2 linked regions of the Lepisosteus oculatus genome follow. The protein of the gene in region 1 interacts with the protein of each later gene in a biochemical or structural test. Links are inferred from orthologs where the notes say so. Each region holds a gene or a part of one and is shown on either strand. Other genes may lie near its edges.

Evidence for each region.
Region 2: the proteins of tjp2b (region 1) and cingulin-like form a complex in vitro, tested with the Homo sapiens proteins (2 studies listed by BioGRID and IntAct, with this or other methods). The link is inferred for Lepisosteus oculatus from reciprocal best matches to the Homo sapiens genes TJP2 and CGN.

The regions. Positions count from the first base shown.
Region 1 is NC_090698.1:57,830,892-57,846,164, forward strand, and holds the start of tjp2b (tight junction protein ZO-2b), read left to right. Parts: upstream 1-7,486; 5' UTR 7,487-7,537; coding exon 7,538-7,650; intron 7,651-8,496; exon of another isoform or gene 8,497-8,617; coding exon of another isoform or gene 8,618-8,730; intron 8,731-15,273. UniProt on the Homo sapiens protein: Plays a role in tight junctions and adherens junctions. Acts as a positive regulator of RANKL-induced osteoclast differentiation, potentially via mediating downstream transcriptional activity.
Region 2 is NC_090722.1:5,541,645-5,557,419, forward strand, and holds the start of cingulin-like, read left to right. Parts: upstream 1-10,088; 5' UTR 10,089-10,313; intron 10,314-15,775. Other genes in the region: shc1 (SHC-transforming protein 1), read left to right, coding at 851-908, 990-1,118, 1,254-1,483, 2,219-2,347; lenep (lens epithelial cell protein LEP503), read left to right, coding at 7,177-7,368. UniProt on the Homo sapiens protein: Probably plays a role in the formation and regulation of the tight junction (TJ) paracellular permeability barrier.

The sequences.
Region 1 (15,273 bases):
GTGATCTTTGATTTTGTGTGCGTGATTTATACTAATCAGTCTACAAATACTAAAGTCTGTATTAAAAGACTGATCTACAGTATGGCAAAACACGGAACAGGTAGGTTTATTCCACGCTGAATGGAAAGAAAAGAACGTTTCGGCTGTGGAGCCATCTTCAGGCGACACCTTTCTTCTCTTTTCAGCATTGAATAAACCCTTTACCTTTACTGGTTTTATCAATATGGGTTTTGTGGTTGTCGTTGATGTTTTTACTTCTGACGTCCTTTTCGTGTACAGTATTAGAGATCGATAAGGGCCATCTGGATTTTGTGTCTTGATTATTGTAATGATTGCAATGATGCAAATAAATTTCACTACTGACCATGTACAGTAAATGTATCAATTATCTGTAATTTCCAGAGTTTTCCTTCGATTGAGAACACTCTGTTTTCCATGTTTGCGGAAGTAACCTCTCAGTCGAAGTTCCATAGAAAGTTATCAACATGCGTATTCATTTACTTGATTCCCTGTTCCTGGTTTCAGGACAGCCGTTTGTATTGAGGCAGAGTTGCATAATGTAGTGTTTATTAATTATTGTATGTATGTATATTCAATTATAAATTGAGAGACTAACAATTGTAATTCTATATTTTGCTAAAAATCCTTTTTTTCTGGGAAATGGAAGTTTCCATTAAACATGAACACTTTCTATGTGTAACGAAATAGGGAGAAAAGTCTTTGTTGTGAAAACGTCAGTATTAGCCAGATCCATTGTTTTCGTTGGAGATCACGTTTTCGAAAATACTCAAGCAACACGTGAGATAGTGGCTGGGGCTTTTCAGGCATGATTAATCATGGTTTATATTGGGTGGGTATGGATTAAACACCAACGAAAAAAAGCCCAATCTTTGGAAGAGCATAATGACAAGGATGTAGAATTGTTACAAACGAGAGAGAGCCATTCGACCCATCTAGCACAGGTGCAGGTGTGAAGATTCAGATTATGTCCAACTGTAAAATTGCAAAAACAATATACACAGGCAACGTATATCTGTCCAGGGTGAGCAGCAACAAGGAGAAGCAGGTCCTGATGAAGTACAGGTTCTGTGACCACATTTTGGGCATAGAAACCTGACAACACAGGCAAGCCTACCTACCCAGAGGGGACAGGCTAAGTGACCAGAGCCAGGACATAGAAACTGGACACAGACAGACCTGACTGCCCAGAGAGGACAGGCTCGCTGACCACAGTCTGGCCATAGAAACTGGATGACACAGTCAGACCTGCCTGTCCAAAGACAACAGACTCCCACTGACAGCAGGGAGAATCAGAGACAGAGTTGTACTCTCTGCTGCAGTGCATTAAATACTCTGGGATTAGACATCATTCTTCCCTAAAACAACAAATCCAATCCCAGACTTCCTGCAACTGTCAGATACACAAGAACCTCCATTCTTGCGGGAGGGGATTTGAAAATCAATAAAGCTAGTGGCCCAATATGTGATCTCCTGTCACAGCCTGAGGGACAGATAGTGAACCATATTATAATAATATGTTTTTTTTGTTGTAAATATCTTAGTAATTGTTATTTCTGTGGTAATTGCTTTGTAATTCACCAGTCATGCCAAACAAGTTTGTTGAATCTGAATAACGTTCTGTGCTAACCTAAAAGTTCTAGCCTTCATCCTCAGGATCTAAGATTGTAAGGACATACAGTATGATATATGTTAGAGCTTAAAAAGATAAATTTGTGTGGCTTTTTAACCAGAAAAAGAAATTACCTCCTTCATGAAATATATGTGCTGAGCCTCTTTCAAATGAGAGCAGAGTGACAGTGTTGGCTCTGATTTATGTGTGTCACCCTGTGGTCCATGTGGGTCCTAATGCCCCAGTATAGTGATGGGGACACTATACTGTAAACAAGCGCCATCCTTTGGATGAGATGTAAAACTGAGGTCCTGACTCTCTGTGGCCATTAAAAATCCCAGGGTGTTTCTTGAAAAGAGTAGGGGTGTAACCCTGGTGTCCTGGCCACATTTTGGCCATTACCAATCATGGCCTCCTAATAATCCCCATCTATGAACTGGCTTCATTACTCTGCTCTCCTCCCCACTGATAGCTGATGTGTGGTGAGCTTTCTGGCACACTATGGCTGCTGTCGCATCATCCAGGTGGGGCTGCACATTGGTGGTGGTGGAGGGGAGACCCCATTACCTGTAAAGCGCTTTGAGTGGTGTGTCCAGAAAAGCGCTATATAAATGTAAGCAATTTATTATTATTATTATTATTATTATTATTATTATTATTATTATTATTATTATTATTATAGGTCTTTATGCAGTTGTGTGCAAAAGGCTGGGCACCCCTGGTCAAATTGTATGTTTCAGTGAATCTCTCAAGTTAAAAGATGTTGACACAACCTCTGTGTTGTACCAACGTAAACATCTTTCTGCAAATTGTAATGCACAAATGGTATTTATCAGATTGAAAAATTAAAAATGTGAATGTGGCATGTGTAAACGTTTGGGCACCATGTCCGTCAGTACTTTGTAACACCTTCAATGGCAGAAATCACAGCTTCCAAACATTTCTTGTAGCCAGCAAAGAGTCTTTCCATTCTAACTTTTGGAATTTGTCCCGCTTTTCCTTGCAGAACTCTTCTAGCTCAGAAATATTCTGAGGTCTTCTTGCATGCACTGCATGTTTAAGATCTCCCCACCGATTTTCAGTAATATTCAAGGTGGGGGGCGATGAAGGCCATTCCAAAACCTTAATCTTTTTTCCTGTAGGTACTGCATGGTTGATTTTGAGGTATGTTTTGGATCGTTTTCTTGCTGAAATATCCAGATTCTTTTCAGCTTCAATTTCTTCAGTGACTCTGGGACATTAGATTCTAGGATTGGGTGATATTTAGTTGAATCCATTCTTCCTTCCGCCCATACTGTCACGTCCTCTGCAGCCAGAGGGCGCTCCTTCTCTGTCTTGTCTCTCATTTCCGGTTCTCTGCTGTCCTTCCGGTGTTTCTCTCTCTCTCTTGGACTATATATTTCCGGGTCTTTCAGTCTGCCTTTGCTCAGCATTGACGTTCGGATGTCCTGAGACCCGCCTAGCACCAGGTCGCCCCAAGTCCGCTACCTGAGGGCCTAGGTTTCTATACGGCATTTCCTGAACAGCTGAGCCCGGGCTAACCCCCGTCTCGCCGCTACGCTTAGGGTCTGCTTGCTTTCCTGCCATTCTACGGTTCATCACTTCCGACATCTGTGACACATACAGTATTTCCTGTGCCACTGGCTGCCACACAGCCTCAGAGCATAACAAATCCACCCCCAAACTTAAGAGCTGGCTAGGTTTTTTTTCCTTCAAATGCTTCATCCATTTTTCTCCAAATGTACCTTCTGTGATCATGGCCAAAAAATTAAATTTTCATTTCATCAGTCAACAGCGCTTTGTTCCAAAAGGTTTCTGGCTTATCAAGATTTTGTATTGTATACTTCAGACGTTGACTTTTGTGATGAAGTCATAGGAATGGTTTCCTTCTGAACACTCTCCCATGCAGATCATTTTTGTGTAAGCAACGCTGTACTGTGGACCAATGGACAACTGCTCCAGTGGCAGCTAAACGTTTCTGCAGGTCCTTTGCATTGATCTGTGGGTTCTGCTTTGCATATCTGACCCAGATTGTTCTGAGTCTTCCAGATCTTGCCTTGACTACAACAGTTCCCTTTAACTTCCATTTCTTAATGATTTCTAATAATGTTTCTAACAGTTGAAATTGCAAGCTGGAAGCATTTAGCAACCTTTTTATAGCCTTCACGTGCTTTAAAAGAGTCAGTTATCTTTATTTTGTATGAGCCCATAGTTGTTGAAAGTTGGCAGAACAACAATCACAACCTGAGAGGTTAGAAGAATCAGAGTATTTGTTCAACTGACTTAATTTAAGGCCTAATGAGTCAGTCAGGTTTAGGGACCTTTGAAAAACACAAATTAAAAAAGTAGTCATTAATCAGCTGGGAAAATGTCCAATCATTTGCGCAAGCCAAATTAACTTTTTTATCTTTTTCAATATGTTAAATTCAGCAAATAAATAGTAATTGTTCATTCAAGTTTGGAGAAAGATGTCATTTTTACATTTGTGCCATGTAGGTTATCAACTTGGTTTTACTTAGAGATTCACTGAAAATATACAATTTCAGTAGTAATTGTGATTTTACAATGCATGTTTCATATTAAATCTGAGTAATGTGAGTGAAAAGAATGCTGCTTATATTAAAATTTTAAAAGGCTAGATATCAAAACATTCCCTTGGTACCTACAAATTTAATAGCCCTGTAGTCAGTGGTTATATTGTGTGACCGATGGCTTCAATTACACAGTCTGCTTCAGCTGAACTCCTTTTTATGGACATTAATGATGGATACTGTTGTCATTATACAGTATGAGAAGTGGGATTTCCTATTGTAGTAAGGAGAATGGGTTATCTGTGAAAATACAGTGGTATATAAAGATCTAGTCACACTTGTTAACATTAAAGTACAAATGTTTTAGACTGGCATATTACAACAAAAAAAAAATATTTAGATGTACAAGTGATAAGGCACAACAGTAAAAGTACCATATGATCTTTGAACATATCAGATCTTGAAGTAAATGCATCTGTAAAAGCAGGGGAAATACTGTAGGTTATATGTGATTCAGGAAAAAAAAACAGGTAATCAGTTGTTAAAGAATGCAAACTGTGGAACTTAAGGATTTTGTAGCACTTCCAGGTTCACGTGGGTCTCAGGTCGGCCTTCTACTGCTGGGGCTCGAACCTGGGCCTCTGGCGTCACTCAGCAGGGAACCAGCCAGCTGAGCTAAAGGAAAATCTTTATATATTCACAGGGAAGGGCGGTGACATCACCACGCTGGCAAGTCGGCTCGCACAACCTGTAATGTCGGCCGTATGCGTTACAATATGAACATATATAGATTACATTATACCAATGATGGGAATATCTAGTAGGACATCAGTGGGTATAGTCCAAGATTCCAATTATAAAAATATGCAAAGGATGTGCTACGTACTAGATGTTACATGAGCACATTGTGTAAATTCTTTGACCGTACTTTATGCTGTGAAGAGTCGGTAGCTGATTTGTTTTTATATGGGGATAAAAAAGGCTGATATTTACTCTGCGCTATGTTGGGAAGCTGGGAAGCTATTAGGATGATGCTCTTTGGATCCATCAAGATTCTCTGCCACCAATTCTGGTGTCACTTTGTGTATTTTATCATTTAGCATTAAGATTAAGCTGGACTCATTGAGTTCTCAGTAAAGAGGATACTTAATGCTAAAGAGAAGTTTTTCTAGAGGGATTTTATTCTTACACTATATGTAAAATACTTTAATCTATCTACTATATACTTACAGTATATCTATATGTATCCACTATACTTATACTTTGATCATTTTGCAAAGTCTTTCTGTGTACATGAACTGAAAGGGAGATCTCTGACCTTCTTCAATCTGGTTTTCCACCTCAGTATGCAGTATGCATAATTCACATTTATATGTAGTATTCATGCCCTGTGATGGACTGGCATCCCATCCAGGGTGTGTCCTGCCTTGCACCCGCTGCTTGCTGGGATAGTCTCGAGCTCCCCCGTGACCCTGTATAGGATAAAGTGGTTAGAGAATGGATGGGTGTAGCTTTCATGATGTTTTGTGGGGTGGGCCTCTGGAAAGTCTGCTGTAGAATGATCTACCACTCTGCACAGCCTCAGAGAGCAGGCAAAGACTTGCCACTCATGGATGTGTCCTGTTGATGCCGTCGATTGGCCAGCCTCCACCAGCTGTACAGAAGGAGTGGCCAGTCTTCGCAAGGTCAGCCAGGCCCTACAGATATTCAAAGTCCGTTCCTTGATAGGCCTATTAGAAAATCAGACATTTCAGATCATCTTATGGGTACAGAAACCTGTTGGCTGGAGGATGTCAGTGTGCAGCTGTGCAAGAAGGTTGTATTGAATCTGCACCAAGTCTCAAGAGGTTCGCCCCACATTAAGACTCTGCCCTCCCAGTTGGCTTGAACAGTCAGCACTATGCAAGTCAACTTGGAATCTCCACCTGCATTCCACTTACATGCAGGTTATTCCTAGAATTTCTTCCACTGTTCTCTGCAGGCAACAACAAGATTTTGGTAACATGATGACCAATGCCAGATACAGTATTCTAAGCGATGTCTTACAGCACGTTTGAGTGTGGCTTAAAGCTTTAGCATACTTTTTATATTAAGTAGGAAGTGTTAGTTTGGCTTAGTTGAAAGTGTTAATGTTCAAGCAAAGGACTTCCAGTTTTTAAGAACAGCAGCGAAAACATCATTATCTTGGAGTTGGTACAGATGTCACATTTCTAATCAGATGTCAATAAACTGTATCAGCCATAAAGAGTGCAATAATTGAAGTAGAACCTATGTTATCTATATATGTAAATAGTAAATGTAATTCAAAATCATTTATCGAAATTATGACATGGATCCTTTCTTTTAGAAGTCATCATTATAAGTGACAGTATATTTATCTCTTCCTGTCTGGTCTCCAGAAAGAAGTATGTCTGGTATTTTTAACAGCTATGACTGTAAAGTTTGCTGTTGCTGGTGTGTTCCAGTAATTCCATTCAGTTATGTGTGAGAAATGCTTGGAGATGCAGACTTTTGAAAGAAGAATTACCAAAGGTTTCCAAGTTAAAGAGTTCAACTGTGATTTTCCTGACTGATGCTTTCTCAATATTATCAGGATTATCTGACAGCAATGTCTGATGTTGTTTATATTGGTGGTAGGTGGACGCACAGATCTTATTGCTAGCTGAAAATTAGACTTTTCAAAAAGTGTTCCATGACATGATAGACTGTACAGAATAAGCATGTAGTCTGTGCAAAAAACTGTTTTATTTGTTGTGCTAATTATTGTGTATTTAATGGTTAGTTAAATTGTGTTTATTTTATCGTTCTTTGGCACTAAAATCCCTGGGTTTATAATAGAAGCCGCACAGAAGGACGTAATCCATTCGTGCAAGCTGCCGGCACATAATTTCATTTTCCAAAGCTGCATTCCCCTGATATGCTGCCCTGCTGCTCTTCCAAGAGATTATTTTTAAAAGAAATTCTGGGTACCCCCTTTTGGCTTCAAACGCACAGACTTTGACATGGCCGCCTCTAAATTAAAGCAGTGTCGGGGTGATTTTGGGAATCAACAGCAGTTTTTGGGGGGTTAATGTTCCAAGGAATGGTTCAGATTTATCTTTTGGGTTTTATTGGGGATTATGGGGAATGTGGGAATTTACATTATCTGTCAGGGCTTAGTACCACAATTATCCCCCTGGAGCATTTTCATTAGTGTAATGTTTGAAGATCCTTAGAATTATGTAAGAATGACGCTCATGAGATTCAGAAAGCAAATTCTCGATTTGTCAACCAAAGAGTTTTCTTTTGCTCCGAAAAATATCAGTTTAACTAAATGGACCTCTTGCAACCTACATAGTTGCTGGACGGCACATAGTGTAGTCCTGTAGTGTACAAAATGAAGTACAAAAAATATCTAACTATAATGCAAGCAGCTATGGGCATTGCCCCACTGAATAAACGCGAACTTCTTCCTCAGAGTCGGAACTACAGCCTCTGGAAACAAGCAGGGTGAGTGTGGAAACAGTTTTTGCTGGAATGGGTTGAAAGTTATGAGTTTGTTAGGCAGGAATGAGAATTTCAAAAACAAAATGGGCATTCAGAGCAAAATGTTAATTAACAAACAATCTTTTTATGATTAATGTTTTTTGTTGAAGATGAACGGTGTGGCAGTGTGAGAGTTAAGGTGGGTACACAGTTTAATACCAGTTGTGCTAGAGAAGATGAAGCATTTAGGAAAGATCAACACTACAGCAGCCACAGCTATCACAGCTATGCAGTGTAATGCAGTGTTATTTGGTGCTGGGAAAGCATTATGTTTAGGGTGCTTTGCAGGAAAAGTGTTGTTAAGCCCTGCTTTGTAAAACTATAGTGTGCCAAGGTTCTAGATGTTAATTTTATTTTCATGTTATTACCTTGATCAAATTATATGATGATTAAACACAGCATATTTCAATATTCTGTTGTTTTGCTTTTAAAAAGAAAAGCTAAAATGTTTTCCAAAATAGTTCACATGTAGTATTGTGGCAGGTACTGTGTTTTAACGGCTATGTTAAATAATTATGTCTTTATACATTGTGAGGAACTGAGGCAAGGACAAACAGTGAGAAACATATCAGACTGGTCCCAATTGTCTGAATACAGCTGGGTTGGAGAAATGTTCTGGGGGCATTTTTTCAACCACTAAGCTGCCTGAGATTTTGTCTCCCAGTGGCTGGCCGAGACACTTTCTGTGTCTAATTGGCTGTCTCGTGCAGCATGCGACCGTTGTCAGTTTGCGGATGGTGTGTGGTGGCTTTCACTAGCACGCACCTGCACTGGCTTCACAGCAGCTCTCTCCTTGCAGTGAGAGCAGCATTCTGCTGAGGCAGACTGGAATACTGATACCAGACATTACTTGTGAGCAAAGACAAAGACACCAACACTTGACTTCACAAGTGCTAAAGTCAAGACACCTTCTTTTTACTTAACAGCCGCAATGCAGCTGAGGATCCTTTGCATCTTCAAGGAGCTATTAAACATAGCAAGCAATATATGCTTCTTTTGCACTGAAAAGAAGGAAGACCCGTCTCTCCGGCATAGATGCATAAGGTGAAATGGAGTAACTTCTGTAGATGAGGGGTTTGAAATAGGATGGCGTAGCTGTATGCATGCTTTCACTTTGCCCGTTTGAATGCCAGCTGTTTTCGTCTTGTGTTTATTGAAGATGGCTTTATGCCTCTGGTTTATCTGCATGGTCTTCTGAAGACAGGGATTGTGTTTATCGCTCCGATAACAGAGTTGGTTGTTTCTCTGATGCCTGTGTCTGCAGACACTAGCCTGCATGTCTGCAGCAGCTTCATCTTGCTCAGTGCAGGAAGGGCACCACAGGATGAAGTTAGGAAGGGAATAGGCAATTTACAGAGTATTTCCAGCACAATTGATTCTCCAGGCAGGACTGAGTCGGGTGCCATAGACATTGTCTATGGAATGGGTGCTGTTGTTTTTGTGTTTTTTTTTTATAATTTAGACTGCCTTCTGTTGTTTAAACTCAAATCATTAATGTCATTGTCACCTGATGACAATGGTAACATAGTATGTTACTCAAAGCTTAACTGCATCTGTTTTATAAGGAAACGTCATTTGTATCAGAATGTTTAATAGATTAATACCATCAATGATCCATTTTTATTTTTCAAAGAACAAAATGTCATTTTTTATATTTTTGAGGTGGTTCCAGTTCAAAATATTTCATACAGTGAATATTTGTGTTCCTAGGGTAATTATTAACTAAATTCTGTCTGCACTAATTTAAAGTACTACGCCAATACACTGTATAATTTAGTGTAAGAATATATGTGAATGTGTTGTAGATGGTATTATTAATATTTGTAAGATTCTATATAGAGTCGTTTAGCTCACGTGTGAATAATACCCAGTTTGGTTCTTTAAAAAATACAACAAAAAATTCAGAGTTTGCAAATTGTAAAAGAAACAACATTAACCACTCTTTTAACCACAGTCTTTTAACTAGAAACTTCTCAGCAGATAGAAGAAGTTGATTTTCTATAAAGCTTTTAAGGCAGAGTAACACATTTATTTTCTGTCACATCTGTGGTATCCAGTCTAGGCAAAATTTGATAAATGATTTGTATTTCGTATTTTGTCTAGAATTAATAATTATTCATAAAGTAACAGTGGAAAGCATTGATCTCCCTGTCTAATATCCTGCGTAGCTGGGAGAGGCTCAGGCAAGGACTGTTGTCTGTCTGTATGACTTGAAAAAGAAAATGACGTGAACTCATATATTCCCAATAACATTGTTATAGCAGGCATATTTAAAGGTAACATGACATAACATGTGAGTAATGATTAGAATGCTCACCCTAAATTAGTGAAATTCTGACCAATGTAAATCCATTAAAATTAGTTTAAAACAGAATTGGTCACATACTCTTTATTTTGTATACTTACACTTTATTAAATCAACATTCAGACACCAAGTAGTCCTTAGGAAGGATATAAAAAGCTTGGTAATGTCTCATCTTTTATCTCCAATTGGCAATAAATGTGACAATGCAACACCCAGGAGGAAGCCCAAGTCCTAATTTTACATCAAAGCATAAACGTATGATTATTCCTTATTTGCTAAAAATACGTATGAGTCCTCTTTTGATAGAAATAATTGAATTGGTATAGAAATTCTAAAGTAGTCTTATCCAACCTTATGATGTATAGAAAAAGGGAACAGCCCACAATATATCTTATGTGATTATGAAACAACTGTATGGGCAAAATGACTATTAATGCTAATTAGTACAAATCCCCTTACATACATTGTATATTACCCTCATAGTGGATAATTAAGAAAATAGCTCATGAAAATAATATAAGGTTTAGTATTTAAGCTATTATGTCTTATGTATTAGTATGAAGAGGAAGGATCTAGAATGTGTTTCTTCTAAAGATTATACCTCTCTGGAAGCTTCTCTTCTCAGTGCCTGCATAACTAAGAAAGGGGACTGCACAATGAGCTGCAGTAAAATGTACAGCTAGTGGGAAACTTAAATTACAAGATCTTTTATAACTACAGTTTTCAGCTATTCTTTGTTTTTAGTACCTTTTTGTTCTTAATGCATAGTCCTTTCACATATGCTGTAAATACGAAGTTAAACAGCTAACTCACTTTGCTGTAGATGAAATGAATTCTTTCATAGAATTTGTCTTGTATGCGGATGTATAAAAGAGTCACATTTGACCTTACTATAACAGTGAGCCCCCACTCACTTTGCTACTGTAGTTTCCATCTGGTGAAGGTGCTAAGACATTTTCAGAAAAAAATGACAAATCTCTCTTGACCCAAAGATTCCTTAAGATTTTGGCCACCATTATGAACCACAAAGCAGGCATTCAGTAATAATTGTGGCAATTATCTTCTAACAACTTGGTATATCTATTTCTAAATATGAGATTATCTGTTTTCTTTTTTGGTTTGATTTATAAAAGTCCTGCTCTTTTTTCATTACAGATTCTTCAACTTGAATATTTTCATCCTTTTCGTTCCTTTCATTTCCCAGGAATTCCATTTAAAATCAGATTCTGATTCTCTCTTGCAAATACTTTTCAATCCACATATTTGTGTGAACTATTTTTGACAGTGACAGTGGATGAAAGTGATATGCTCTTTAAGACGTATTTGGTTTCTTTGGGTCTCTTGTACAAATTTAGATTTTTAACAACCCCATATAATCAAAATTGTATTCTCTCTGAAGTACACAAGAAACCGTTTGTTCCCTATTCAATCGGTATATTAAATGCAGCTAAGTGACTGTTTCTTGTATGGACCTATCGGATTATGTGTAATGGTAGGGTGATATGGGCAGAGAAAAGATGTCTGTATACAGTATGTATTGTAACACGTCTAAGACTATTGTTTATTTCTTAAGTGTATTTATTTTATTATTTTTTTGTAGGTTTGTATGGTGATGCCAAAGACACATTTCCAAATGCGTTGGGTTGGACAAGAAAGATATATCGTAAACTTATTTAAATCTATATAGTTTACCAGAACTCAACATACTTCATGAACAGTCCTCCCCCAAAGGGAAAATAACATTCAGGAAAAAAGTAGTACCAAAATAAAATATTGATTCCTCTTCCCAAACACCAGCATAAAGATCAGAATATATTGGTGCTACACAGAACGCATGGCAGTACAGTTAGATTTGAAGAAGAAAATAGGGCAAGGAGACATAAAATAATGGTAGGTCAGAACACATTCTAACAATATGCATGTTATCAAAACAGAATCTTGTTTACGGAGAAATGTTCCAGAGCCTAGACATTTTCAACATGAGGAATATAGTGTAAAGGCTGTCTATATTTAAACAGTAAGAATAAATTTATCTGACATAATATCACATTGTATTATACAATCTTGTCAAGATTTTATCACAGATAAACTCTGCCATTGCTCTTATCAGTGATATCTCGATGAAGACTCTTGATTTTGATCATGGTCATTTGTCATGTAATTATATGTAGGTTGCTAGCATATATCAAGTTAATAAATCTTTTATCTCTCTTTTTAAAACAAGGTCTGGATATCAGGCAAATCCTTTTGTAGTCGTTCAACAATAAGAGGCATTAAATGTAACACTTATTTGGTGTTAAGAACGCTAATTTAATCACCCCAATTCAGTGTGTGAATTTTGTTTATCTCACTTGAACACCTATTAGCGTGGACGTAGAACTCCACCTGGGCAAAAAACATCACATGTTCCGTGGAAGAATCTACAGATCTCCTATAGATCTAAAAATGTGAATAGTTGTTATATGTGGAATAGAAACTTCTAAGTCCTTATATTCAAGACTTTTTATGAATTCACATCATATAACTAAAGGAAACATCAAGGGAACTTTAAATCTCTCACTAATTGCTTAACAAATCTCAGTGGATAGCTGCTTGGCTACAAATGACCAAGTAAAGGTTAATTACAAGCTGAAAGGTAGAATGAAAGCACAATATTTCAGATGTTAATCCTCTTTCAGGTGTGATAAATTGTGTATACCAGGTCCACATTTCTTTGTTTCTTTCTATACTGTACAGGTCATTTAAAGTCTGCATGTCTAGCAGTTTACTTATGGCCACTGAATTTTTTCCTAAGGCCGGGACTCTAATCTTAAACTAGTGTGGTTGAAAGGAGCATTGTGATTTTTATACATTAGAAGAACAGTAGCTTGTCTGAGTGTTCCCAAGTGGCTCAAGTGCTAAACACTATGCAGGTTGAGTTCTTCGGTCTAGACATCATTAATTCACAAGTCATACCACAAGTCAGCTGTGTCCAGTGACTGGGATTCCAATACACTTACTCCAAGGGTTGGGGCTTAGAGCATTCAGCCAGGATTCCCACCAAAAGCATCAACCCCTGTGCTTGCTGGTTTGTGGTGATGTCATTGATTGGCGTGCCTTTCCTCCAATCAGCACTTGTCTTCTTGTACATCATTGCAGGGCTTGGAGCATGTCAAAAGATGATTGGCTTGATTAATAATTCCAGATTGAGTGAGTAGTTAAATTATTTGTGATTCTAAGTTTATTTAAAAAAGGTAATACCTTGAGATATGGGTGTGGCACAGTGATGCAGTGGTTAGCATTGCTGCCTTGCGGCACTGGGGCCCTGGGTTCAAGTTTGTATGTTTTCTCCCTGTTTTCGTGGGTTTCCTCCAGGTGTTCCAGTTTCACCACGTAGTGGTAAGTTAATTGGCTCCTGGGAATTTTCCTGGGAAAATTGGTCCTGATGTGAGTGTGTGTGTGTTTGTGTCTGCGTGCCTGGCCTGTCTGCATTACCTGGGTATAGGGTGTATCTCACCTTATGTGCTTTGCTTGCTGGGATAGCCTCCAGCTCTCCTGCGACCCTGGATTGCATGGAGCAGTTGGAAAATAGACGGATAGATATATTGACTTTTTTCATATGTGTATTGTGTACAATTATTTTTTATCTTGATAGAACGTTAATTTGATGTTACATAAAGCATCCATAGAGGAGTAAATTGTGGTCATGTACAATCTTTACATGACTTTATTTACATCTGTGGAATGAACTATTCTATTATAGAAAAAAAAAAGGTCTCTGAGTGCTGAGTGACCATATACTGGGACTCTAATAATTCCTTACACTTATACAGCTCTTTTCTGGACACTCCACTCAAAGCGCTTTACAGGTAATGGGGACTCCCCTCCACCACCACCAGTGTGCAGCCCCACCTGGATGATGTGACAGCAGCCAAGGAGCGCAAATACACTCACTTTAAAACAAACAAATTTAAAATGAGCTACTGTAGATGGCATGACTAGTATAATTGTTGCGAACAGTAAGTGTCTAGATCTATAGAGGGCTGTGTGGTATACACAGTACATGTACAGTAGGTTCTCGAAAAAAGCACTCTGGAAAAAGCACTCTAATCCTTAATGATTCTTGCTGTATCCCTTTATTGTTATTAGACATTTTCTATTTTTCATAGATTGCTAAATTTCTGTTCTTGTCTCCGGTTTCATTGTGACAACTTCATAAAACGGCGATTATGGAAATTTCATCCCAGCTGTTGGGATAAGGAGCAGGAATTTTCCGCAGATGACCGCCGGGGCCAGTGTTGGCAGATTATGGTTTGCAGTCATTTAGAGAGCGTAGGCAGGCAGCTGTCACAGTCTTACTGGAAAAAGGAAGCCCATCCACCTAGTGCTCTTGTTTCATATGGATCCTCTAGTCAGTCTGATTCTCCTCTACGCGGATTTAAAGTAATGGCATGCACAACGTTATGTAACTTGAAATGGGCTTTTTTTCAGTGGCTGAAGAATTAATCTAAAGTCAAATTAAAGCAGCACTCTGGGGTTATGCAATCAATAAGCAGTCTGCTCTTTTCTGTCCTCTAAATTGCAACATGACTCCACTGTATGTTAATGTTCTATAGCAATTTAAACCATAAAATAAAACTCCAGACATGTAAAATGCACTGGTTAAATACAGATTATGCAAGTATGTACACACTTAAAAGACTTCTTCAAAGGCTTTAACGTCAAGCATGATATACGCATAATGAGGGAAATGGAGATCATCCCTCTTGGCAGATCCAGCTATCGTTAACCTTGAGTCACATGGATCAGCCTCAGGGGTACTCACTGTTCCTTGTCTGGTGTCACTGAGCCCACAGGGCTTTTACCGATTCATCAAAATGAAAAAAAAAAAATAATATGTAAGCAATGCATAGAGAAAACTCTACTCTGAGAACCGGAAGCACTTCTTCCCATTTTGTTGTAGGAGTGCAAGCTACCCAGCCGTGCTGTTGAAGTCGACACATCGTGAAACGGCTTGGTGAGATACTGGAATCACTTAACTACTAAACTGCCGAATGCTTTACTCCCTGGGGTATCTAAATCTACTCTGAACAAGCTGCAGTATGTCCAAAATTCAGCAGCCAGAATCCTGACCAGGTCTAGTGCAAGTGTTCACATTACTCCTATCCTGGAGTCCTTGCACTGGCTTCGGGTCAAATTCCGCATAGAGTTTAAAATCCTCATGCTCACCTACAAGGCTTTACATGGCTTGGCACCTCAATACCTGTCTGAACTTTTATCACCCTACTCCCCACCTCGCAACC
Region 2 (15,775 bases), on another chromosome or scaffold:
GCTGTTCATGTCACTGTCACCCCCACAGGAGCAGTGCTGCCCCTATTGTAACTGGACTGTTCTACTGGACTGGGACTGTAGCTCCTATTGTAACTGGACTGTTCTACTGGACTGGGACTGGAGCTCCTGTTGTAACAGACTGTTTTACTGGACTGGGACTGTAGCTCCTATTGTAACAGGACTGTTCTACTGGACTGGGACTGTAGCTCCTATTGTAACTGGACTGTTCTACTGGACCGGGACTGTAGCTCCTATTGTAACAGACTGTCCTACTGGACTGGGACTGTAGCTCCTATTGTAACTGGACTGTTCTACTGGACTAGGACTATAGCTCCTATTGTAACTGGGCTGTACTACTGGACTGGGACTGTAGCTCCTATTGTAACAGGACTGTCCTACTGGACTGGGACTGTAGCTCCTATTGTAACAGGACTGTCCTACTGGACTGGGACTGTAGCTCCTATTGTAACAGGGCTGTTCTACTGGACTGGGACTGGAGCTCCTATTGTAACAGGGCTGTTCTACTGGACTGGGACTGGAGCTCCTATTGTAACAGGACTGTTCTACTGGACTGGGACTGTAGCTCCTATTGTAACTGGGCTGTTCTACTGCACTGGGACTGGAGCTCCTATTGTAACAGGACTGTTCTACTGCACTGGGACTGTAGCTCCTGTTGTAACAGGGCTGTTCTACTGGACTGGGACTGTAGCTCCTATTGTAACAGGACTGTTCTACTGGACTGGGACTGTAGCCAATATTGTAACTGGGCTGTTCTACTGTGCTATTACTGCTTATTTGCAAAGCTGAGAAGGAACTGTCAGTCAGGCTCTGTAATACTTTGTCTCTGCAGCCCTTTGGACAGACTGGACAGACAGATGGACACAAACAGCCGTTGCCACCCCTGCCAGGTGCGTCGTCTCCGTTCCGCTCCCCCTCGAGCGCCGCCCGTTCTTCCGGAGCGCGCATCCACCTCTCCCTCTCTCTTCCAGTGGGCGTGAAGGACGGGGGGCGCCCTGACCTCTTTGACGACCCTTCCTACGTCAACGTGGACAAGCCCCGCGCTCCGGCCGCGGCGGCGGCGGCCAACGGGAACGCCCACAGGGACGCCTTTGACATGAGTGAGTCCGCTCGGCCGCGCCAACGCCATCGCTCGACCCTGCCCCCCTCCGCCTCTGCTCCGCCGTGTGTGTCTCCCTTCTCCCCGGCCCGCGGCCTGTGAAAGCGCGCTCCAGTCCGCCCCCTCTCTCCTGCAGAGCCCTTCGAGGACGCCCTGCGCAACCCGGCGGCGCCCTCTGTGGCCGAGCAGCTGCGCTGCGAGGTGTGGTTCCACGGGAGCCTGAGCCGGCGGGAGGCGGAGCGCCTGCTGCGCGCCGACGGGGACTTCCTGGTGCGGGAGAGCACCACCACCCCCGGGCAGTACGTCCTCACGGGGCTGCAGGCTGGGCACCCCAAGCACCTGCTGCTGGTGGACCCCGAGGGCGTGGTGAGTGAGAGCGCCGGCCTGCGCACACAACCCGGTACCTCGTGGCTGGGCTGGGCTGGGCTGGACATGCACACAGGACAGAGGGAGGTCCCGGTCCAGGCTCAGCCTAAAAGAGGTTCTGGCCAAATTCTCCTCCCTGGCCTTCACCAGTCATGACCTCCTAATAACCCCCCTCTCTGAACTGGCTTCATCACTCTGCTCTCCCCACTGAGAGCTGGTGTGTGGGGAGCGGACTGGTGCATCATCCAGGTGGGGCTGCACACTGGTGGTGGTGGAAGGGATCCCCATTACCTGTATAGAGCTTTGACTGGAGTGTCCAGAAAAGCGCTATATATTTATAAGGAATTATTATTATTATTTTTATGTGGCTCTGCCAGTAAAGACATAACGGGTAGATTATATTATAACCCTACAGTCCAGAGATCGCTGGTCCGGTCTAGGCCGGGTCACACTGTAACCCTACAGTCCAGAGATCGCTGGTCCAGTCTGGGTCACACTGTAACCCTACAGTCCAGAGATCGCTGATCCAGTCTGGGTCGGGTCACACTGTAACCCTACAGTCCAGAGATCACCGGTCCAGTCTGGGCCGGGTCACACTGTAACCCTACAGTCCAGAGATCGCTGGTCCAGTCTGGGCCGGGTCACACTGTAACCCTACAGTCCAGAGATCGCCGGTCCAGTCTGGGCCGGGTCACACTGTAGCCCTACAGTGTAGTTCTGTCTCTCCATCCTCAGGTGCGCACCAAGGACCACCGGTTCGAGAGCGTCAGCCACCTGATCAGCTATCACATGGACAATCGCCTGCCCATCGTGTCGGCGGGGAGCGAGGTGTGCCTTCAGCAGCCCGTGGAGCGTCGGCCTTAAGCGCCCGAGGGAGTCAACGTGGGTCGCTGCACAGAAGCCAAAAATTCTCCCCGTCTCCTCCTGCCTGCCTTGTGCTGGGGGTCCACGTCGCCTTAAAGAAACTCGTTATCACGAAATCAGCCCCAAAACACTACTGCTTCCCAGAAAAGAACCTTAAACACCAAAGCCATTGAGACCCCAAAAATGGGCACTCCTGCTATCCCCTTTCCACCCTGATCCCTTGTATTCACACAGCAGGTAGGAGGGGGTTCAAAACACTCCAGAGCACATCCCAGGGGCATTCAAGAGACCCCACCGTGCATTTCGGCAGTAAAATGAACCCCAGTCCCCACTTCCTGCTGGGGTAGGTGTCAGCTCAGTGACGGAGGGGATGACCGCCCTAAGAGCAGTTTGGGGTACTTTGTAAAAAAAGTGCAGCTACAGCCAGCGCAGGAACTATTCCGTTCCAAAGTGCTCCTCCGGTCCCAGCATGTCCCACACCAGCCCGCGTCTCTGGACTTGCCTTAGTCCTTGGACACCCCAACAGAGCCTTACTGAAACAATTTGGGGTTCATAGACCCCCCCCCCCCACCCTCTGCTCGGTGAATTCCCAGGGCGTGTCTCAGCGGAATGAGCTCTGCGCTATGTGGACTGTATGAATTAAGCGAAGAGGGCACTCCAGGTTTCCTCCTGCCCTCCCGTGGGGTGTGTACCCCCTCGCTTTATAGGGGTGCAGTAATGGGGCACGCGCCCAGCGGCGTGAAGGTTTGAGATCTCCATCAGTAACCCTGGGACACCGCAGCTTCTGCACATCCTTGGAAACGCCGGACGCAAAACCTCCTCGTGCTCCTGGAAACCTGGGAGGAGTGAGGGCGTCGGAATGCAGGCTCGGCTGAAGCAGGAAACATTCTGGAGTGAATGTGTTGGAAATCATCCAGGGGGTGTTATCCGGGGATAATAAATATTGGGGGGGGGGGGGGAAGAGGGTGCTACAGCACAGTATCTGCACCCCTCTCGGTTTGTCTTCAGGTTCCAGCTCCACCGGCAAGCGTATCCCTGCCAGGCCAGAGGGTCAGGATACAATCCCTCCTACCCAGCAGTCTTCCCACAGACATCGTATCGGAGCCGTGTGTGTTCAAAATAAAATACACAGCTGCACTGGGATTAAAGATTCAGGGATCATCCCCCCCTGTCAAGCGGGTCACTGGGCAGCCCCCAGTGAATCCTCAATCATCCATATCGGCAACCCCAAGAGGAGAATTTCTGGGGGGTCCACAGCACCTTAGGGAGCGGTGTCTATACCCAAAGACACGGATTCTTGCCAAGCCGCCCTGTCCGTGACGAAGCAGAGGATTGTGAGCCCTCAGGACAGCTCCATAATTATTCCAACCTGGGGCAGAAACGGAGAGACTCATTCTGCGCGCTGGCCTCCCATACAGCCCGTAGAACTCGCCGCACCTTCTGAGCACAGCTGGGTAGCAGCCCTCCGGATGAGGACTGTGGAAGGGATGGGTGGAGGAATTGGAGGGCGTGTTCGGTACTCGATCCTGTCTTTGTTAGGAGGGGTTGGGGAGGTTTATTAGTGAGATTCTTCCTGGGAAGGGGATGGTCTGTCTTTTGAGAGCCATGTCAGTGACGGGAAGAAATGGGATTGTGAGGTGGCAGGGTCTTCGGTGAGGTTGACAGCTCAACAAAGGTGCTGCACTGTGCCAGTAGTCCTAGTGCATTCTGGGAATTGCGGTTTATTGGTTGTTTTTTTCCTGTCCCTATCCTGATCGGTTTTCCCCTGGCCTCTCCCGCCATGGAACCTTACCATGAATCTGGGTGTTCCCTTATGGATTCATCTGTCGGAACATCCTGCAGTGGCTTTGGCTTGGCTCCAGACTGTGGCTGCCTCTTCAGCCCGTGATTTGGACTTTTGCCATCTCTCCCTTAATGGACCTACGCCACCCATAAGCTTTTGGTTGGGCTGATGGGAGCTGTAGTCCACTCCAGCTCTGGGAATCAAGTCTTTGAAGTGGTCTAAAACTAACTTATCTGAAGGACACCTTCTCATGAGAGATGTAGGTGGTCTGTGGGTCAGTCGTGTATGGTGGGGGCCACATGACGCTTGTGGAAGAGAAAGCCTTACACTGCCTGGCTTCTGAGCAATCAGTCAAAGAAAACCACAGGAAAACCCATCAATCAAGACAATCAGTAATTAAAATAATCATGAACAATCCTTTATAAACCCTTGTGCAAACACATATCGTAGGGAGATATGCATAGAGTATAATATAAATGATACAGTTTCAGTTTTGTGGTGTACATGCAGTTTCTTAGAAACTGAGAGGAGAGAGGGATGACAGAAACCACGGGACTTGACTCCTCTTCTCAGATTTTGAATTTTTCTTTTCTCTTAATGTGCCTTTTGGGCCAGTAATTTTTTATGGCCCAACCCACCTCATATGCAAATTATTTTAACTTTAACAAAATATATATACAAGATCTAGACAAATGTTACAGCATTGGGGGAGCTTCTTTTTAATGGCTATTGAGGTGCTGGGGGAGTGCCAGGAGGAAAAGGGGGAGGAGTCTGGAACACAGCTGGTGGCTCTTGGCCAATCATGCTGCTCTGTCCCACAGCTGGAGCCACCTCCCACTTCCTGTGTGGGCGGAACTTGATTGGCGATGCTCAAAACAGCCTTTACAACAAAGAACAGTTTTAGCACCAGACACACTAGGTCCAGTCCTCAGTCTGGTTCACCAGTTTACTCAAACTTAATCCAGCAGCCCCTGCATCTTTTCCAAATGATCAATCCCGATCCGTTGCATTATGCTCCCACTCTCCCATCCCTCAATAGCAGGTTTCTTGGCAGTCGTGCTGTGTGCAGAGTTGAACGTGTGTGATTTTTTTAGAATATTGTCAGCTGTGTTATGAAAAAGCGGGGACTGCTTCAGTCGCAACAGACTGGGAGGTGGGCAGCGCCCAGCTGCGGGGCTGGGTGATGGGATTGAAGATAGATACTTTATTGATCCCGTGAGGGAAATTGCAGTGCAACAGCAGCTTAACACAGACAACACAGGAACAGTGTTACTAATGATACAATAATAATAATACAGTACAATCAGTACAGTGAGAAGTGCACTATGAAGAGTTACTCACGGTCCAGAACACACAAAGAACAGAACAGCATACAAAGAAGTTGTCAAAAGTCAAAGGGAGGGGGAAGGGCACTGGGGGAGTGACCAGAAGTATGTGACCACGAGCTCCTCGGCCTCCGTTGTCCCGGCTCGCCTCTCGAGTGGCCTCTGCGGCCCTCAGCGGCCCCTGCAGGCTTCCCTTGAGATCCGGGAGCCAAAATGTGAGTTTGGAAAAATCTTTTTTTGATTGTGTTTATTTTTTCAGTTATAAAGTCCCTAAAGCAGCACAGCCAGCTGGGTCTTTCCGAAGATCAGCACGGACGTTTGGGCGTTATGCGTAGTAGTAATACTCCGACGGTTTGGGCAGTTCCTGTGTCTGTCCGAGTCTGGACAAAGTGAGACACTGAACTGGTGGCAGAGGGGTTTGTTTGTGTGCTAATGTTAGATTTTGTCCTATCCTGCACAGGCACAATATCAGGGCATTTAGGGGGGGTCCTCCAGGCAGTATTTGGGCAGCCCCTGAGAGAGTGAGCGAGGATCATTCCACCTTCGAACCCGGCCCCCTCGTTCCCAGTCCTCGACACTCTCCCTCATCTCCGGCCATTGCTTATGTTTCAGAGAACCTGCGCACAGAGGCAGTCTCCTCTCTCCTGTTCCTCTGCGTCTCTCTTTGCACCTGTACGATAAATCCTGCTTGTTTCAGATTATCTGTATTATTGTTATAAACCAAAGCTCAGTCACTGAGGTTTTTTTTGTACACTTTCTGTTAATGTTGGGGGATAAAACGTTTACATCTATATCTATATATATATTATATATATATGCATTATACATGTCTTTTACCTTTATTGGTGGATTTGGTTTGAAATATAATTTCTTGTATTTCCTGCTTTGATCACTGTCTCAAGGTGTGGTATGTTGATTCTGTGCCTGTGTGGTTAAGAACTGACTGCTGGGGCCAGGCCAGGGAGACAGGTGGGTAAGGGTCAGTAGAGCTGGGTTAAGGGAGACAGGTGGGTTAAGGGAGAGAGCTGGGTAAGGGTTAAGAGAGGTGGGTTAAGGGAGAGAGCTGGGTAAGGGTTGAGTGAGATGGGTGGGAGTCCACGGAGGAAGAGGGGGGCAGGTGGTCGAGAACAGGGGAGTGGGAGAGGAAGCAGAGTTGAGAAGGTGTGGTCCACAGAAAACCGGGGAAGGCAGGAGAGCCTGCTGGAGAGAGAGAGGGACAGGGGTGCTGGTTCAGGGAAGGGAGGGGGGAGTGTGCACTCGCTTGTGCTCAGCCTGCCAGAGAAACGGAGCGAGCAGGATTTGTGTTTGTAAAGAGAGACGGCGGGGCCTGACACGCCACGTGTGCGGGTCAGCAGCGCCGCTTCACACGGCGAGAGCGATGTGGACGAGCCGGGACCCTTCCAGAGGGGCGAGCACAAAGAGCTGGAGGGGCAGAAAAAGATGAGCTCAGCAGGGGGAGGGGAGGTGCACTGGGGTCCCCGCACAGGGGTGGGCGAGGGAGACATAAACAGGCACTGAGCGCCGGGCACGCCAGCGATTTCCACTTGGTCCCGAGAGAGAGAGAGGAAGAGTACAAAACCGGGCCGGATCGATAAAAACGACGGGAGGTAAGCCGGGTCGAGAAGGAGGAAGACAACTAAACTTCCCTGCGAGCGAAGGGAGAGAAAGCGCCAGGAGCTACAGAGCCCTCTGCTCCCGCCCGGCCTCCACAGCGCTGCCCCATGCAGCCCCAGCGCCCCGTCCCCCAGGCCGCGCCCTCCTCCGTGGGCCACACCCTCCGCGACATGGCCCTGGGCTTCGGCCGCAACAAGAACCTGCTGGGAGCCAACTTCTCCTACGGGCTGCTCCAGTCGCTCAAGGAGTGCCTGTACTTCCTGCTGTGCTGCTGGTGCATCAAGGAGATCCTGGACTGACGGCGGCGGGCCGGGCCGGGCCGGGCCGGTTCCGATTCTGGCGCGCCGCCTGCTCTGACACAGGTAGAACACTTCTGAAAACACTGGCTGTGACGGAACACTGGAGAAGAACGGCTCAGTGAGATATTGATGAAGTGCAGTAAAAAGCCAAGTAAATTAAGCTAAAGGTACAGTGAGATCAGGGTAAAAGCACAGTACAGTAAAGCCCAGTGAGATCAGGGTAAAAGCACAGTGCAGTGCAGTACAGCCCAGTGAGATCAGGGTAAAAGCACAGTGCAGTGCGGTAAAGCCCAGTGAGATCAGGGTAAAAGCACAGTAAAGTGCGGTCAAGCCCAGTGAGATCAGGGTAAGAGCACAGTACAGTGCAGTACAGCCCAGTGAGATCAGGGTAAAAGCACAGTGCAGTGCGGTAAAGCCCAGTGAGATCAGGGTAAAAGCACAGTAAAGTGCGGTCAAGCCCAGTGAGATCAGGGTAAGAGCACAGTACAGTGCAGTACAGCCCAGTGAGATCAGGGTAAAAGCACAGTGTAGTGCGGTAAAGCCCAGTGAGATCAGGGTAAAAGCACAGTGTAGTGCGGTAAAGCCCAGTGAGATCAGGGTAAAAGCACAGTAAAGTGCGGTCAAGCCCAGTGCGATCAGGGTAAGAGCACAGTACAGTGCAGTACAGCCCAGTGAGATCCAAGTAAAGCACAAGTGTAAAGAAGGTTTTCGACCAATTCTGAGTATATTATATGTAATTCGTGTTGTTTTGTCATTTCTTTTCGTGCAGCAATCTTTAGTTTTAACGCGGGCTGAAATGAAGGAGAATGAAGTAGACTTCGCAAGCTGAGCTTTGGAAGTGTGCGCGATGCTGGGGAGCGGTGCGGGACTCTCCCCCCTCCCCCTCTCGAGACTGGGGCTTTTTCTTGACGAGTCACGGTCTCGCCCTGGTCCGCAGCCCTTCGTGAGACAGAAGAACTAATTCCTAGAAGCGTATCTTCGTCTCGCTGAGGAAGTGAGCACATTGCGAGGAGAGAGGGGGGCTGTGAGCCCGGTGACGTGGAATTCCTGACGGGGGCGCTGCAGGCCGACTCTCCAAACGCGAAAGGAGGGTTTTCATGGACGAGCCGGCAGTTGAGCTGCCGTTCGCTCGTCTGACATTTGCGTTTCTGGAATTTCTCTTCAGTAAAACAGTGGGGAGCAGCATAATTTACTAACAGAGCTACAGATGAACTAGCGAGCACGTTCCCAGGAGCAGTGTCCCTCAAAAGCAGAAGAGAAAAGAGAAAAAGGCGAGTGCGTAATAAAAATACACAATTCCCGGTCTCGGACTGGCTTCACGTTGTTTTTCCAAGCTAAACGGCGCCACCTCGTGGGATTGCCGAGCTCGGCACCCTCTTTATTCTGTCCGCGGAGTTCTGAACTGACGGCTGATCTCTTTTTACACGCTTTGAAAATGCGCCGTTGCTTTTGCATCTTCGGCCTGCTAGCATTTACGTGGTTGCCTCTTTCAATCATGATTTTGTTCAATAAAAATTACACGAGTTCCTTATGTTTCCCATCTGCTGTGTGTGTGTGTGAGGGCACTATTCCACCCACAAGCAAGGCACTACATATGAACAAGTAATAGGTTTATTCCATGCTGAAAAAAAGAAGAAAGAGAACACAACGTTTCGGCCGTTCTCTTTCTTCTTTTTTTCAGCATGGAATAAACCTATTACTTGTTCCTTTGCAGCCTACGCCCGCTGACGCAGCTCCCCACCTGAACTACAGACACTACATATATACTACATTTAGCAGGGCAGGTGCCTGCAACCACTGTATTGCACAGGTCCAGTCCAGTGAGTTATCCATCCATTTTATAATGATTCTTCCTCCACACTACAGGACCGAGAGGGACCCAGAGTCTGTCAGGGCAAGGGAAGGGTGCAGGGCAGGCTACACCCTGGACAGGATGCCAGTCCATCACAGGGCAGACACACACACTCACAGCAGGGCCGATTTTCCCGGGAGCCACTATCCCCACACACCAGCTCTCAGTGGGGAGGAGAGCAGAGGGATGAAGCCAGTTCAGAGACAGGGATTGGGATTGGAGGCCATGATGGTAAAGGCCAGGGGGAAATTTGGCCAGAACATCGGGGGTAACGCCCCAACTCCTTTAGAGAAACGCCCTAAAAACGACCACAGAGAGTCACAGATCGCAGGGTGAGCGCCCCCCTACTGGCCCATCTAACACCTCTTCCAGCAGCAGCAGCCTTAGTTTTTCCCAGAAATCTCCCATCCAGGTACTGACCAGGCTCACACCTGCTGAGCTCCAGTGGGCTGCCAGCTGGGAGCTGCAGGGTGATGTAGCTACTGACATTACACTACATACAAAATAAATACATACAAAAAGCTCTGACACAGAGTCACACAGTGAATACTGAATTGCACGGTAAAAAAAAATGAATGTTACTATTAATTGTTCTGCAAAGACTTTACGCTGAAAAGAGAAGTTGTGAAACTTTGTTCTGCTGCGTTAACAATAACAAAGCCTTTCGACCAATCACATGCGGCCGGGGGCGTTCTTAATAGTTAACAGACGGCCCATTAATCCAATTGGACCTGATATTACAGGCAGAAAGGAGATTGACAGCGCATTCTATCCAATAACATTAATGAAATAACTTAGGATTCCGCCTCTTTGTCCGGTAAACAGCCAATCATTCAGCGCCTACAGAGAAGTGGTGGGTGGGACTCATCCCTAAGAAAAGGTATCAGTCGCGGAGGGTAACAGGTTGAATGACGGAGCTGTGTCGCCGAGGGTTTGTTTTTTTATTTTTTTTTTAATGAGACTTGAAAACAACGACAAGAGAGAAAAGATACCGCAAGAAAAACGCTTATAACGTCGCTTATAGCAAGGGACCCACCGTAAAAGACATCTCTTCTCTTCGAAGGAGGAGCGGATCGGTGACTTCGATCGGCAGGTGAGTGAACCCCGGGTCGGGCTGTCCGCTGGGTCGGACCCGGGCTCAAGACTCGGTCCGGTCTTCCCCGGAGTCGAGGGAAGACGAGAAAGACGAGCAAACGGGGAATAAGTAAGGCTTTCTGGGCGGTTTGGCCACAGTTCCTAGCTCACACGCAGGTGCGTCGTTGCGGGAGCGAGTCTACCTGTGCGCTACAGGCGGCGGCGGCGGAGGAGTGAACACGGATCACACACACACACCACTGCACACCACACCACACACACACACCACTGCAGCGAGTCCCTGCCGTTTAACACCACATCGCCGAGCTCTGCTGCGCTCTTAACCCAAATCAAACACGAATTAGGTTCGTTTCTTCTCGTTCCACCTGCCCGAGACCCCCCCCCAAAGACCCAGGCTCGCCCGCACTTCCACACACACGGGAGCCCTTTCTTAGCTAGTTTCTCTCGGTACCTGCGTGTGTGTGTGTGTGTGTGGGTACATGTCTCCTGTCCAGGTGGGCTGGCGAGAACCGACCGCCCCCCCGCGCGTCTCAGCGCCCGTCCTGCTCTGCGCTCGGAGCTCCGCCGCGGGTGGAGATGTCGCCTGTCTGAAGGCACAAAAAAAAAAACAACCAGTCCGAAGGCTTTTCCTTTTTTTAAAATTCAAGTCGTTTCCGCGGCGCCCCCGCCGCCTGTTCCCCGGGAAGGACGGGTTTTCTGGAGCAACAGGCGGGTTTCGGGTGAAGGCGACCGCCGGTTTCTGTTGCGCAAGCGGGGGGGAAACGGCAGCAGCCGGCCCGCTGGGGGCGCTCGGATCTCCGATGTTGGTCGTGGGGCAGCCGGCTCGTCTTAAGGGCGCTTTGCCTGTCGTGGCGTGTTCCCACGGCTGCCCTGCGCGCTGGGGTCGCGCCGTGGGGCGGTCGGGTAGAGGGATCATGTCTGTGGGGCGGGGGGGGGGGAGAGGGTCGTCTTAGCCTTGGAAACGGGGAAAAAATCATCCGTGTGTGTGTTTTGTGGTGGTGCCAGTCTTGTGGTTTCTGGTCTCCTTTAGGGGTTTTGGTAAAAAGGAAAAAAAAAATAATTTAGAGGGCATGGCACTTGGATTCTAATAGCAGTCTGGTCCACTCCAGGGTTTTACAGTGCTGACGATAGGATTTCCCAGTCCGCAACACGCTGATGTGCTCCAGGTTGCATGGTATTGTTACTGATGTGTAGCGTAGCAGTCTGGTCTGCTCTCCTTATGGTTTAGTGGTGGTGTCAGTCAGTGACTCCAGGTGCACAGCAGTCTGATCCGCTCGGGGTTTTATAGTGTCACCGGTCTCTGACTCCAGGTGCACAGCAGTCTGATCCGCTCGGGGTTTTACGGCGTCGCCGGTCTCTGACTCCAGGTGCACAGCAGTCTGATCCGCTCGGGGTTTTACAGCGTCGCTGGTCTCTGACTCCAGGTGCACAGCAGTCTGATCCGCTCGGGGTTTTACGGCGTCGCCGGTCTCTGACTCCAGGTGCACAGCAGTCTGATCCGCTCAGGGTTTTTGTGTTGAACCCGACACCAGCGGCTGGGGCTCTTCAGAATGGAAGTTTGCTTTGCTGGGTCTTGCAAGAGCTCTGGCAGCCGCTGGGCGCAGTGGAGGCTGCTGAGCGAGTGTCCAGCGACGCCTCCTGTCCAGTGTAGCCGCCCGCCCGTGTCCCGAAAGGCCGCTGGTCCGTGATCACGCACTGCGTCGACCTTAAACCACAGGGCCTGAGGAAAGCTGGAGCTGCGGCTGCGGGCTGGGTTCACCCTCACTGGGGTCCCCAGCCCAGTCCCCTCGGGGCCAGAGACGTTCCTTAACAGGCCAGCGGTCTTCCTGGAAACCAACAGGCTTGTTTTGGGCTCTTCATTTCCAGTGATTCAGATCTCCTGCTTTCGTCAGGTTGTTTCAGGAATTTGAGAAACGGAGGATTTCAGGGTGACCTGCAAGGTCTGTTAGACTGGGATTCCCCAGGGACCCCTGGGTGACAGACTGGTGATTTCAGCGTGACCCGTGGGACCTGCTGGACTTGATCCATGGGAGGCCCAGGTGATCCGGGCAGTGCCTGCATTCAGCCCTGGGGGGGGGAGTCCCGGCTTCTGCACAGGCTCCCAGCGGGGGTGCGAGGAGGCTGGCCGCCGGCTGCTGGTTTCTTCATACCTGCTGCTGTTGTTGGACAAAAACCGGCCCTGAGCTGCCGGGGACAGGGGCTGAAATCGCTCCTCTCTGGTCTTGTTGGGAGCACCTGGGCCCTGGTGCCCCGCAGCGTCGATTCTTGACTCCTGCTCTCGCTGAGCAGACCTGCTGGGATGAGTCTCCCCCTCCCGGTCTGGAGTTTGTGCCATCCTGCTCATGATTGAGATGCTGCAGTGCTGTATCTGGGGAAGAGATGAGTGTAGTACGTCCACACGCCCGCACGAGAAGAGACGGCCCTAGGGCACGCACTGTGCATCCCACCCACATGGTCGTGGTGATGACCTGCTGCAGCCCACAGTGGTCCCCAGGAGCCCCTCAGCTATAGGGGTTAAAGGGCGGCACCCCCTCCCAGGCCGCTCAGATGGGCATTGAAGGCTGATGCCCAGCGGGGTGCAGGGAAAGAGGGGCTCAGGCAGCCGGTGGACAGCCTCCTCGCACCCCTGCTGGGAGCCTGTGCAGAAGCCGGGACTCCCCCCCCCGGGCTAGCTGCAGGGACTGCCCGGATCACCTGGGCCTCCCACGGATCCAGTCCAGCAGGTCCCACGGGTCACACTGAAATCACCAGTCTGTCACCCAGGGGTCCCTGGGGAATCCCAGTCTAACAGACCTTACAGGTCACCCTGAAATCCTCCTGTTTCTCAAATTCCTGAAACAACTTGAAGAAAGCAGGAGATCTGAATCGCTGGAAATGATCCCACGGATCTCTGTCATCCCCCTTCCCTCTTCCCACATCACCCACCAGCTGCCACCAGCTCCCCCCTCCCCGGGAATCGCGCTCTCTGTGTGCCCTGAGCCTAGAACTGGGGACGCCTGCTAGCTGTGTCTTCCAGTCCCACAGATGAGCTGCCGCTTGAAAATGGGCCAGCCCGCCCGGCGAGGTCGTTCAGGTCGCTAATGACATGTTCACTAGCTCTTCGCTAGCCGTGGCTCGTTCATACAGCTCCCGAACCCAGCTGGCTCCAGAAAATCCCTCCGCTGGGTCCCAGGATGTGTCGGCATGGGTCGTCGCTAGCAGTCGCTCAGGGTAAGAACAGTTTCCAGCTCGGGGTAGAAGTCATCGCGTAGCTAGAGGTAGGGAGCGTTGTTTGTGCTCTAATGCAGTGGTTTCCGAATCTGGTCCTCGTGAAGCACGGTCTGCTGGTTTTCAATCCAGCTGAGCTCTGCGTCTCCCGGTGCTGATTGATGACTTTAATCGATCTGTTGTCTCCTTTAGCCTTCCGTTTACTCCTCTCTTGGGTCAGTCCTGAGTGTCAGTCATCCCCCGCCTCAAGCAAGCTGTTTCCAGCTGCTGCAGCACACAGAGCCCTGTGCAGCCTCCCTCCTTCACCTGCTGGCCCTTATTCCTGACTGAACAGCGCTGGCCAGTTGTATGGGGTACCGGGGGGGGGGGACTCCATCAGACACGCCCACACAGGAGGGACCCTGTACCAATCCCACATGTCTCTTTGAGAGCTGATGGCATAGTTTCAAATAGGCCCCAAACAGAACATTTAAATCCGAAGACAGCGTTCCTCCAGGACCAGTGTTGGGACCTGTGTCCTCTGTAAATGTCCAATTAATATTGATGAAATATGAATGAATAAACCTAGAATCATCTAAACAAGAAAAATACAGTTTGACATGAATGTAAGTGTAGCGCGCATTTGGAACTGGAAACTTACCCAGATGACTTGTGAAAAGTGCGTTTCTGTGTTGAAGCTGAGACAGTGTTTTTTTCTCGCAATGCATTGTGGTGTCTGATCGCTATTGGCCACCAAAACCGCGTAGAATTTTCCTTCCTCTGCCTGAGGCGTTCGATCCAGGAGAGTTTTGCTGGGGTGCCGATCTCCCTCTCTCCCCTTGCACCCTAGTTCTCTAGTCTCCTTGCGCCATGACCTGGCGTGATGCAGTCCTCATAATCCCTTTGCCTGTGGCTTTCATCTTCAGCACCACGGCACGACTGTCAGGAGGCGCTGAGCTGACAGGTCAGCAAACACTTCGGGCCTCTGGGGAGCAGTATCCTGTGTGGCTACTGGAAAACGGAATTCAGCACCGCAGCCCTGAGCTGAGTTGGAATCTTGTTGAAGTTTGGAGCCACGTCTTCCCGGGAGGGATGGGGAGTTTGGAATGGGATAGAGAGAAAGGGTGGTTGTAAGGGGGGAGACTCCGGGAGAGGAGCACAGTCTGATAGGGTCATCGATCCGAAAATCAGATCCTCACTCAGGATTGAGGAGGAGACTGGGCTTAGCTCGCCGACTTGACTGTGACCAATCGGGCCTCACTGTCGGCTGGGTTGGGGATTGCTGAGCTTGTAGCGTAGTCCGAGCTGCCCTGAGCAGCTTCACTGTCAGCCTGGTTTGTTATTAACTGCGCCGTTAACAAATCACTCTCCCTGAGCTGGGAGAGAGGTCAGCAGCGCAGTGGCTCAGTTAGTCACTGAAATTCCGCATTCTTTCCAAACGCGGATTGCGTCTGGATTGTAAGGTCCTAACCTCAACGGGATCGGGCTCCTCTGTTACAGCGAGATCGGTCTGGGCCACTCTGGGGAGGCCTACCTGCAGTGCTCCTGGAGTAAGGGGGTAGAGGGTGTCACCCACTGGTGCTGTTCGGCCAAAAATATGTTCCCTGCTTCTGTTGCGCCACGCGTATCTGTTCAAATTCTTTTCCCATGATGTCACTCCAGCACCTTTGCACTGCAGGAACAGCACTAGGCGCTCAAATATTTACAGTCTTTCTGGGTCAAGGTGACTTGAGGCCAGGAAGCCTTAGTGCAGTGACTAATGTGAGTGTTTCTCCCTGTCGGGCGTCTGGAATAAGATTAACTCTTCAGTTCCCGAACTAATCAGTGTTTAAACTGTGTGCTCTGTTTGGGGGATTCCTCTCCTGTTTACTGGATGTTTGATCATCTCAGGACATTGTCACTGACACTGCTGTCCCTCTCCTTTCACACTCCCCCTGAATTCACACACCTGACTGGACCGGAGACACTGCTAGAGACACTGCTGTCCCTCTCCTCTCACACTGCCCCTGAATTCACACAGTGACACACCCCTGACTGGACTGGAGACACTGCTGTCCCTTTCCTCTTGTAGTCTGGGAGTATGTCAGAAAAAACGAATTGTTATTGCTTTGGCAATGCTCTGATTCACCAGTTATGCCAATAAAGCTACTTACATTCCTCTCTTCCACTCCTTCCCTCTCCCAGTCCAGAGTGTCCTGTCTTATCAGAACTCTGAGTTTCCAGGCAGTGATAACAGAGCTCTGCTGGCATTCCTCCTGCCTGTGAGCCTCCCCT